Coturnix japonica: one gene and its partners. The protein of the gene in region 3 purifies or fractionates together with the protein of the main gene of each other region. This does not show direct contact. Links are inferred from orthologs where the notes say so. Each region holds a gene or a part of one and is shown on either strand. Other genes may lie near its edges. The genes, in order: RIPK1, TLR4 and TICAM1.

Region 1 (3,179 bases), on a different chromosome or scaffold from region 3:
CCAGTTATTCAACTAGTTTTCAAGTCACTGTGCACTTATCTAGCTCACAGTTATCAGCTTCTTTGCTAAGACCTTAGGAGAGACATTAATTATGAAATGTATCCCTATGTGCCAATTAAACTTATACTCATTTAGGTAAATGGTGTTCTCTGGCCAGCTCAGAATTACTACAGTTGCATTACAGTTCTTCCTCCTTTCACTGAAGATAAGATTTTGCCCATCTGTAGCAAAGCAGCGGCTATTTTCTGCAAGGCTCTGTCCTCTGTAAGATTGATGGAATCTGTTCACCCAGGTGACTTCAGTATAAGGATGTGTTTTCTATTCTATAGGTGCTTCCTCTCGTTAAGCTTTTACCTATAACTTGACCATATGCTCTTTTCTTACATGTAGGAAATGTGGCCCAAGTCAGAAGAACTGCTGCAGAGGATGAAATCCCTTCAAATAGATGCTGTAGTAGATACCAGCAATGGCCAAATAGGTGGGTGTTCCAAGTTGCATAACTAGCACATCATCCTGGCATGTACTCTGCTAAAGATAAAGTTGCCCCTTTTGTAGCTATGGAGAGACTCAGTCATTCAGTACTTCTAAAATCCAGTAGAAGTCAAATCCTACTAACTTTGCCCACACCACTGTAAAGATTTTATTAAGCAAGTAACTTGGAACTATAACAGGCAACCGATAAACCTTCACCAAAGCTATGTTTGCCATAACAGAAGTAGAACTATTGGACCTAGTAAGGCAGGCCAATTGCTGTACTTTTAAAGTAGCGTAGGTACATTTCCCTAGCAAAAATAATAATGTAAGACTACAGATTACAGATGCTTTTGTGCTTTTTTTTGGTGACATCTCCAGATAGGATTTCTACATAATCTTTTGCAGATATGACTTCAGTGACAAATTATTTGTGTTGCATTAAGTAACGCCAATTACAGTGAGTTCTATCTTCCATCTTGTTATACTCTGGTCTTACACTGGTTAAATACCAGTTAATGAAGTCAAGACTTGGTAGTAAATTAGACCCTATGAGTGCTGCTGGGAACCTGTTGTTTCAGTGACTAAGAACCTGGTGTCGATATATGCAGAATACACAGTGAATTCAGACACTGCTTTCCTAAGCATAATTCAGTGACACTTCCCAGAAAGGGAAGTATTACATAAAACAGCTTATGCTGGAAGTGATGCTACAGTTTCATCTTTTATAATTTACCATAGTATTAAAAATAAATTAATAGAATCTAATGTCACCACTAGTTATATACTTGCAATAGAATCTGTTTTAAATACTTCATTTTTTTCCCTTTCAGATCAACCTAATTCTCTACACAGCTCTCAGGGTCAGATTAATGAAGCCTTGTTTGCTGCCTACCCTGAGAACCAGCCTGTTGAGAGCTGTGAGACTTCGTTTACATCCCCTGACAATCTTGAAAGAAAACTTGAACGTGAATACGACTACCATGCATACGGCAGCCGGATGGATAAATCAGTAGCTCCACCATACAGCCCTGAAATGAGAGAGAGAGAAACGAGACCTAAAGTTTCCAATGATCCATTTGCAAAGCTGCCTTCTGTTCCTCAATGGGGTGAACTGTATTACAAAGCTGAAAATATAGGATCAAACACTAACCCTTGGTTTTGGCCAAAACAAGCTGCAATACCAACTCAGGGAAATTTAGAAAATTTTTATGGGCCAAACGTTAACAGTCTCCTAACAGGAAACACTGAAGATCGCTATGATCCATGTTCAACAAGTGCCTTTAGCCTAAGCAAAACTCCTGTGCCGGAATCTCGCCCAAACCTGGGGGCACAGAACAGCGTAAACCAGCAACAAAAGAATGCAGATGTGGATACAGGTGAGATTCTTCCTCCTCTTAACTCTTGTGTTTCTGAAAATGTGTTTTTTCCTCTAAAGACAAAGCAGCCTTAATAATAGCAGACAGTGGATAATACTGCAGCAGCTAACAAAACCAAGAGCTCTTACTAATCACACTTGGAAAACTAAGGAGTATTTTTGACTCACAGAATGTAACATTCACACCACAGGCTGTGTGCGCAAAAATGGAACTTTTCTCATGTATGTGCATGTAGCATTTCAGAAAAGAGATATTTAAGCTTGATTTGCAGCAAGTTAAGAGTTCAGGGAGCTAACAAGGAACTAAAGCTCTTAACTGGTTTCTCCAGAGAACACTGCTCAGTGCTAACACAGAGATGCCCTTACAGTTTGCTAGTGAACTGTGGAATAGAAAGCTATGGAGAAAACGAAGAGAACAGTGAGTGTCAGTAACAAGTGGAAGCAATCATTGTAGGGAGGCAACATACAATATCATGGCAGGCATCAGGCAGATGCAGAAGACCTGCACTGCAGTTCTTCTATTGTCTTATTTGGTGACCATAACCCAGTCACTCTTACTGCCCAGTCACAAACTGTCAGAGCTCATCTGAGCGCATCCAAATCCATTACTACATCAGACAGGAAGTTACATCTCTGCAGGACATTATTGCTACCAACAGAAGATACGGTGGCATCCCCAGCTACAGCTGGTCACAACTAACATGCTAACAAACCATGATCAGTCTCAGCAGTAAATAGCAATGTGCTCGGCAGCCTTCTTGGTTTGGAGGCAGTAATACCTGTGTCTACGCTGTGATCCTGTGCTGCTTTCTGCCAGGCAGGTGTTCATACACCCATGTGGAATCCTGTTGTTCTCACTGGGATCCAAGGATCACAAAGGCTATCAGTCCATAAGCAAAACCACAATAAGGGTAACTGCTTCAGAGTTATTAAAGGAGATAAAGTCCTGTTTGTTAAAAAACTTTCTGTCTTTTTGTATTTAAGAGCGCTATGCACACTGTACAAATAACAGCAGTACTTGTAGATTTGTTTTTTTTAATTTCCATAACACTTCTGGCATTTCCTCTCTCTTTAGGTATCAAGGTTTCTGCCTCTTTCACAAGGGGAACTTTCACATATTATCCTCCTGCAACTCCAATAACCAGAGGTAAATGCTGTAGCCTTTGTTTGTCTTGGTAGCCAACAGTTTATGCATTGCATTACGATCAGTGAGGAAAAAAGCTTCAGCATCTTCATCATCAGGCTGCCCAGGGGGGTGGTGGAGTCTCCTTCTCTGGACATATTCAAGACCCGCCTGGACGCCTACCTGTGTGACGTGGTTTGGGGAGCC
Region 2 (3,331 bases), on a different chromosome or scaffold from region 3:
TGGGTGGACACCTACAGCACACAGCAGCTTGGCACTGCACCCCAGTATAGGGTGTTCTTCTGCACCACCCCTGCTGTCCTCCTACAGTTGCTTTGATATGCAACAAACTGTTCCTTTTTAAGCAATACTGGCCTAAACCCTTATTGTGATACTCAGAACCACTTGCAGGCTTTCTGAAGCCCATTATTACAATTACAATCAAGAATCATAGGATGCCAGAAATGCGTATGCACCGAACTGTTTGCAGAAGAGACGCGAAGAGGGATGGAGAAATGATGCTTCTGTACTGCTCAACTCAGCAGCAGTGAGTCTCACCCCATTTCATTTTCCCTCATTCTCTTTCCTGACGTAACTGATGATATCCGGGGCTAATATTTGCTTTTCCTCCATGTTCTCCTGTAGCCTTGAGGCACGGAAACTAGAGCTGGGCCTGTGTCCCAGCACTGCCTCCCATAGCCAATCCCCATCCCCTGCCCTAGTCAACAGGTGCAAAACAAACTGTCTAGGCAAGCAAACACAGCATCCAGCTTGGTTTTATTAAAGCTTTGTTTCATGGGTCACAGAAGACACTAGAGAGGTTTTTGTTAGTGTTATCCCAATACACTACTGATAGAACACACAGAGAAGGGACTGTGGGGCATCTTTTTCCAGCACAAGCCCTGAAATTAGCTTTCCCTCTTTTGGAAGTAATGTCTGAAGTCAGTCTCACCTATAGCTGGCTTCCACGGAGATGCTGCTATCTGGTGCTGAGAAAAGTGAGATGGATCAGGCCTTTTCTTCTGAGAAAATATCAGGTCTGATTCACCACTCAATTGCTTCTGTTTTACCTCTGTAGAATGGCATTGATTATAGAGGGATTTGCAAGTTTAAGACTAGACTAACTCAGTGATTAATCCCAACCAAAGCCTTCCGTAAATAGAGAGCAATACTCCAGCAGTATTCAATATCCAACGCATCAATAGATTGCTCTGTACTGTGATTCAATGGCATTAAACTTTCCCTCCTTTTAGTCACAGTTAGTGATGGGATACTTTTAGTTTAGCTAACCCAGACCTAAATCTTATTTCTTTTCCTACCATGTCTAGAGTTTGGAGCTGTTCTGTACCTTTACCCTCACCCAGAAACCCTGGGGTCCACTCAAAGTGTCAGACTGAAATTCTGCTGAGCAAACAGCCCAAACTGAGTGTCAGAGGTAAGAACAGCCCATCCATTCTCATATCTATTCACTGACCCACCAGATCTGCATGGATTTCTGGACCGGCTTCAGCTGACTCCTACAGACAACAACAGAGCTCAGGCATCTGCAGTTTTTCAAGCTGTTGCCACTCCTTATCTTGATAGCTGCCTGGAGGAAGGGCAGTCATCAAAGTAGGTGTTTCTGTAGTGCTTTCACATTGTCTCTTTTCACTTTGTCCAACCCTGAACAGTCACAGAAGGACGGGCTTCTGAGCACCAAGCATCAGCCAAGGCCAGGGTGGGAGACAGGACAGAAGTGATGTTTCTTTCTCTTTACATGAGTTTTATCTCCTCCTGATTCCATCTTTTGCCTTCTAGCAGGACTGATGTCAGCTGCCTCCAGAAGATATGCTTGCTTATTTCTTTGTCTTTCCACTCCAGATACGTGTTTCTCCTCAGATATCGGGACAGTCCCAGCCTCTGCCTCAACAAGGCCTTATCCACTTCCCCTAATATGATCATGATGATTCCAGCCTTCCCTTCAACAAGCTGCCAGGACTGAGCAATGTCGAACTCAAAGCTACACCACTTGCTTTCCAGAAAGTCAGCTGAGATGACTGCAATGACATTTCTGCTACTCAGAAAACCTTCTTGGATTATATTAGTGACAATGGGTACCCCCGGTAAAAAATCCCTGTAGTAAAGACAAAGCTGGAAGGGAGGTTTTCCTTCTTCTAAGGGTTCCACAAGCTCTTTCATCACCCATTCTTGGTCTTTGCTGGAATGGATAACAAAGGCATCGTAGGTATCTCCCCTTTCTGCAGAGTGTTTGCACCCACTGAGCAGCACCAACGAGTAGTATAGCTGGAAGAAGTACTTATAAATGAGGAATAGAAACACTCCTGCGGCAACCAACACAATCACTGAGCATGCTACTGTGGTTGGGTTGGGATGGCAAGAGGACATATCAAAGCTTGACAGGCTCACGTTCTCCATGTAGGCAGGTGTGTGGCATATCATTGAATGCTTGTTCTGCAGTAGATCCTGCTTTCCCTTGACCCATTTCAAGAAGTTCAAGTGTATGCAGGAGCATTCAAACAAGTTGTGAGAAATGTCTAGTGAGACCAGACCATCAGGCAGGATTTTCAGGGCTGAGTCTGACAGGAAACTCAGCTGGTTGTTGCTGAAATCCAGGGCTGTGAGGGCTTGGAGTGGCTTGTAGGTTACAGGATCAAAAGTCAATAGCTTGTTGTTGCTGATTATTAGCTCTTTTAGTTCAGAGAGAGCATTAAATGTACTTTGGTCCACCCATACCAATTTGCAATTTGAAATATCCAAGATGCGGAGGCGTCTTACATTCTCAAAGTAGTTGGTCAGTGTGTTGTTCTCAAAGGAATTGCCTGCCATCTTTAGCACTTGCAAAGAGTCCAAGCCATGAAAGATGTGATGGGACATAACATGAGTTTTGGTGTAGGAGATATCAAGGTAAATGAGTTTCTGAAGGAGTAGAAAGACAGGGTAGGTGCCATGATGAATTATTGTGGTGTGTTGAAGGTCCAAGTAGAGCAGATTTCTCAGATTAGCAAAATCTCCAGTCAAACTGATGTCAGAATTGAAGCTTAAGTTCAAGTGTTTCAAATTTGGAGACCTGGGAAACTTATGGGAACAGCAGGTAAGGAAGGAGAGACGATTCTCACTCAAATCTACAACCTCCAGGTAAGTCAGACTCCCAAACTTTTGCTCGAAGCTATTTAGGTCTTTGCTCTTGGTAATACGAAGCACTCTCAACTCCTTAAAAAGAGACAGCTTCTCAGCAGGCAACTCCTGAAACTTAGATTTCTTCCATTCCAGGTGTTTCACTTGAGAAAACATAGGAACTTCTGACAACGTTTCAAGACGAAGGTCCACGAACCGAATAGTGGAGACATTGCCTATGCAGTCAAAAAGAGTGTCTGTGTCATTCTCAAAGTCTCTGAAACACATTAAGACAAACTCCTGCATCTGCACCTGACACAGACCGCTCAAGAGTCCGTTCTGAAATGCTGTCAGCTTCAGAATGTTAGTGAATTCTCCAACTATTAGTCTGTTGACCTGTAAACCTGCCAGGCCCTGAAGAGAGGACTGCATCACACTGAGGTTCTCGAAAGAGGATCTC
Region 3 (4,408 bases):
GGAAGAAAGATAAGAGTAATATAAAATCATTTGCCTTAGAAGAGGCTGCTTCATCAAAGGTGACTAAGATGCCTGAAGAACCAAAAGGAGCAAAAATGATTCCGGGGGAAGCATGTAGAATGCTAGAGAAGCTAGAAGAGAAGATAGGTGTGGAAGAGGCATTGGCTGGGAAGGAGATAATAACGAATGCACTGAAGGAAGATCCCTGAGAAGTACAGCTGAGCTGAGGCCCCTTGAGTAGAACGTCCCTTAGTCTTCTAATCATGCGCCCAACTGTCAGTCACGCTGGGTGTTCCTCCTGCTTTCACTATCCGAGGATTTTACAGTAAGACATAGTTTGCAAGGAGGCTCGATGACCAAGGTGGGGTGATTCCAGATCTTGATGTATTTTTTTCTTAAAGCATGTTAGTCCAAAAAAGGAAGGTAGAGGGCCTATACTTCATCTCTTTTAATTAAGTCAGCACGGCTGTATGTGATTGGCAGTTGATGCTGAGACAAGCTGTGAGTGAGAAGTCTCAAGTTATTTTTAATGTTGAATTATGTTTATGACTTCATCCAAGCTGCAGAGATCCTAAAAGTTATGCACTCAGCCTTTGATCGTGTTTTCCTCCGGAAGTTTTAGAACTACATGTTACAGATACTACTTCCCTTCTGACTTCAGCTTCCCTGAGAGGCTGAACCCTGCAGCAGACCAGGAACAGCTGGGGGCTCCTTCTGAGAAGTGCCTCTTTTTTTATCAGCCAAACACCTGCTGTTTTGTAGAGGGATTTTCTTGTAAGCATGTCAATCTGCAGTGGGACTGTCTTTCCTGATAGTGAAAAGGACTTCAGGGATTATCTGATTGTGTCTAAATTAACACCACGAGTGAAATATTTTGTGGCTTTTGCCAGGAGTTACTCTGCTGTGTTTATAGGAGTATGCTGTAAACAAAATAGGGAGATAGGTACTGTTCACTTTTCCCAAGCAAACAAGGCTTTGTAGCTATTCTTGATGTTGTTTATTTTGTACTGGTATGGCACCACTGATAGGACTGGGGTAATGGCAAAAACTTCAGAATAAAATTGGTGTTCTTTCCTTTAGCCAGAGCAGGTTGTAAGCTTGTGTTGGTCAAATCGCTTCTCCTAATAAATGCTTTCAGTGGATAGCTGCAGCAGGAGGAACGTGGCTGTATCACGCCACAGGATACTGCTGCGTGCCGTTGGCTGCCCTGACAGTGCTCCAGCCCCACGCTACGTACACATCACACACCCATCGTACCTCTGGCTCCTGACGCTCGGAGGAGTGATGCCAAAACCCTCTCGCAATAAGAAAATGTAGTTCTTCTGGTGGGTGTGCTCTTGCCAGCTTGCGTTAAATACCTCCAGGAGCTGTTACAGAGGGTGACGGCACACGGTGCGATCTATGGCTCATCCTCTGCCGGGGGCAGCCCGACGGGGAGCGGGAGGGGCGCTGCTTCCTGCCCCGGCTCCGCTCCCGTCCGGGCTCCGCTGAGCCCGCTCCGCCCCAGCCCTGCGGCCGATCCCCGCTCCGCTCCGCCCCGTAGTGTCGAGTTCCTCCGCTTCCTCGTGTGACAGGCGGCCCCGCCGGTCAGCAACGACCCCGGGCCCGGGAAAGCCCGGAGCGTTCCGCTGCAGACCCCGTCCGCGGCCTCGGGCCTGACCCCGAGCGGCTCCGCGGGGCGGCTGGCGCGGGAGCAGCGCAGGTAGGACCGCACACCCGGGGTACCGCGGCGGTGAGAAGCCGGGGCTGTGACGGGGCAGCGGTGCTCGTGGTGTGACTGCGTGAGCGCTGCGCATCGCGGCCCCACATCGGGGCAGAGAGCGGCAGCCGGAGGGGCACGGTGAGAGCCGCGAGGGGCTTGGGGATATTTGGGGCGTTTCGCTGAGTCACAAGGCGGAAGGGTATCAACGAGTTTCAAAGGTCTCCCTCTGCTCTTTCGATGTCCGGCCTTACTTTCCTGCCTTCCCGACTGTTTCGCTGAATCGGTTTTTCTTTGAAAGAGCCACTAACTTTCTCGGGTTCATCTTGAGCTCATTCATTATGCAATTAGAGATTTTTTTCTGAGTGCAAGAAACAATACTTTACCAAGTTGAGAGCTATTTGTAGACACCCCAGTTTCCTTTATATGCAGAACGCTGTTCCACCAGGCTGTGTGTGGAGCTGCAGGTCTGCTATTCAGTCTAACCCAGCTCAGCCAGCATTGAGTGCTGCGGCTTAGGAGAGACCAGGGATTAAATATGGAAGGAGATCACACCAATGTTCGCAGTGACATGAGACAGCCCAAGAGAAGATGTGTGGGTGTTCCTGGCCTCCCTGGAGATTTGAAAGGGCTTTATTTCCCAGCTGCCCACTGCAAAGAGCAGAAGAGCGGCTGGAGGGGCCTTGGAGGAGATGAGTGCCTGGCTTTACCCAAATACATGATTAATTTAGCAGTGACTTCAAAACAGTTGTCTATAATGTGAAATAAATGTGAAGAACTTACTCTTTGCTTAGTAACAGAGCTGTAATTATGTGTGTAGCGTGTCACATGCACTGGCATATCTGTAAGCAGTAAATGTGGGGAAGAAAAAAAATCAGAGTACTGAGAGCCAGGGAGCTCTGCCTCATTGTGTCTCAATGTGTTGTCCCATGTTTTTCTCATAGGTTCATTTGCTCCGTTCTTCAAGACAGAGATATCTTGCTTCTGAGACGAGTCCCTGAGCTGCAAAAAGCTTCTGCTTGCATGGTACAGGAATTACAACTGGGACACCACAGAGCACTGCAGGGAAATAAACCTTGAACCCAAATGCTGTAATATGCTCTTTCCCTTCATGCTGCTCCAATCCATCATCTTGGCCACCAGCTGATGAGATGGCACAGAATGCTGAGGTCCAGCCAAGCTTTGAGGATATTTTTAATATTCTGTCCCAGGTCCCAGCAGAAAAACTCCTTAGTCTCGAACAGAAACTGAAGTATTTGATGTCTGGGCCCAGCAGTAAATTACTGCAGGCCATGGTCCTGCTTACTCTGGGACAAGAAGCAGATGCACAAATTTGTCTGAATGCTCTGGGAGATAACCGGGCAGCCCTGTACATCATCCATCAGACCAAACTAGGCACCGCAGGAGTGCAGAAAGGCAGTGGTAATTCTCAGCACCCCCAGCTAGATGCAGGTGCCATGGAACTTCTGGCAGAGATCTACTTGCTGCTGGCAGGTGAAAAGCTGTGCAGCCACAAAGCTGTGGGCAAAGCTAAACAGGCTGCTAGCAGTGCCAGCAGGGATGCTCAGAGGGACACTCTCAATAGCATTGCAGTTGGAGATCAGGAAAGATGTATCAGCACTGTGGATTCAGATAGTGAGTTTCGGACACTGAGATCTGATGTGAGCACAGGATTTCTCGGTAAGACCAGCCCAAATACCATGGTGAAAAGTTCCCCAATGAAGATTAGAAACACCTCAGACCCTTCAGGCCCACAGACCTTGCGCTCCTCAAGGATCTCAGATTCTTTCACTAGTCTCCTGATCAGTCAATCACCAACAGCTATTTTTCACATGCCAGCTCCTTCCTGTGAGTCCAGTCGGCTGTGTGAAGAGAGCACCAGCGATGCTGGACACCCTGATGGAGAGAAACAGAGCCACAGCCTGCAGGAAGCAGGCAGAGCCAGCAGCCCCAGCAGCCGTTCCAGGCAGGATACAAATCCCCAAGTCCCCCATCTGGGGAAGGCACTGCAGGTCAACTCCTGTTGTCCATCTCTCCCTATTGTTGAAACACAGCTGCCCACACTGGGTGCTGTGGGTCAACCTGTTGAGAGTAATGATATTTCCAGCACAGTGATAGCAGAACCTCAGGTACCAAAAGCAAGCAGAGAACAAAAGGAAAAATTATCTACAGATCTTCCCTATTCAAGAACGACAATAAATATTGGTCCTGCCTGCATACCCATAGAAGACTCCTACATTCCAGCAGGCATTTCCAACTCTGTACCTGCTTCCACTTCAGTTTTTCCCTTTCCTCCTCAAACCTATTTCACTTCAACCATTACCCCTGCTCCTCCGAGTGTTCCTTACAACATACCATTCCCCTCCCCTCCCTCTTCAACTGGCCCTCATTCTTTAAAAACTGTGGAAGCAGCATTGGCACCAAAGCCCAATGGTGAAGGGAAAAAGTTCTTCACTTTTGTTATTCTACATGCTTTGGAAGATGAGCGTATTGCCTGTCGCATCAAGGACCTGCTGGAGAACATGGGGGTTCCCAACGGTGCCACATTCTGCGAGGACTTCCTCGTTGCAGGACACAACCAGCTGACTTGCTTTCAGGATGCTATGGAAAACTCTGCTTTCCTCATCCTTCTGCTGACCAAGAACTTCCTGTGTAACCAGTGTATGTTCCAAACAAACTCAGCTCTGATGGAGTCCATCCAGCGACCTT

The links.
Region 1: the proteins of TICAM1 (region 3) and RIPK1 purify together in Homo sapiens (affinity purification with western blotting; 4 studies listed by BioGRID). This does not show direct contact. The link is inferred for Coturnix japonica from reciprocal best matches to the Homo sapiens genes TICAM1 and RIPK1.
Region 2: the proteins of TICAM1 (region 3) and TLR4 purify together in Homo sapiens (affinity purification with western blotting; 3 studies listed by BioGRID). This does not show direct contact. The link is inferred for Coturnix japonica from reciprocal best matches to the Homo sapiens genes TICAM1 and TLR4.

What each region holds. Positions count from the first base shown.
Region 1 is NC_029517.1:63,195,186-63,198,364, forward strand, and holds part of RIPK1 (receptor-interacting serine/threonine-protein kinase 1), read left to right. Parts: intron 1-390; coding exon 391-478; intron 479-1,304; coding exon 1,305-1,850; intron 1,851-2,924; coding exon 2,925-2,996; intron 2,997-3,179. UniProt on the Homo sapiens protein: Serine-threonine kinase which is a key regulator of TNF-mediated apoptosis, necroptosis and inflammatory pathways.
Region 2 is NC_029532.1:2,459,427-2,462,757, reverse strand, and holds the end of TLR4 (toll-like receptor 4), read right to left. Parts: coding exon 1,510-3,331; 3' UTR 504-1,509; downstream 1-503.
Region 3 is NC_029543.1:3,917,980-3,922,387, forward strand, and holds the start of TICAM1 (TIR domain-containing adapter molecule 1), read left to right. Parts: upstream 1-1,532; 5' UTR 1,533-1,702; exon of another isoform or gene 1,703-1,840; intron 1,841-2,643; 5' UTR 2,644-2,850; coding exon 2,851-4,408. Other genes in the region: perilipin-3-like, read left to right, coding at 1-209.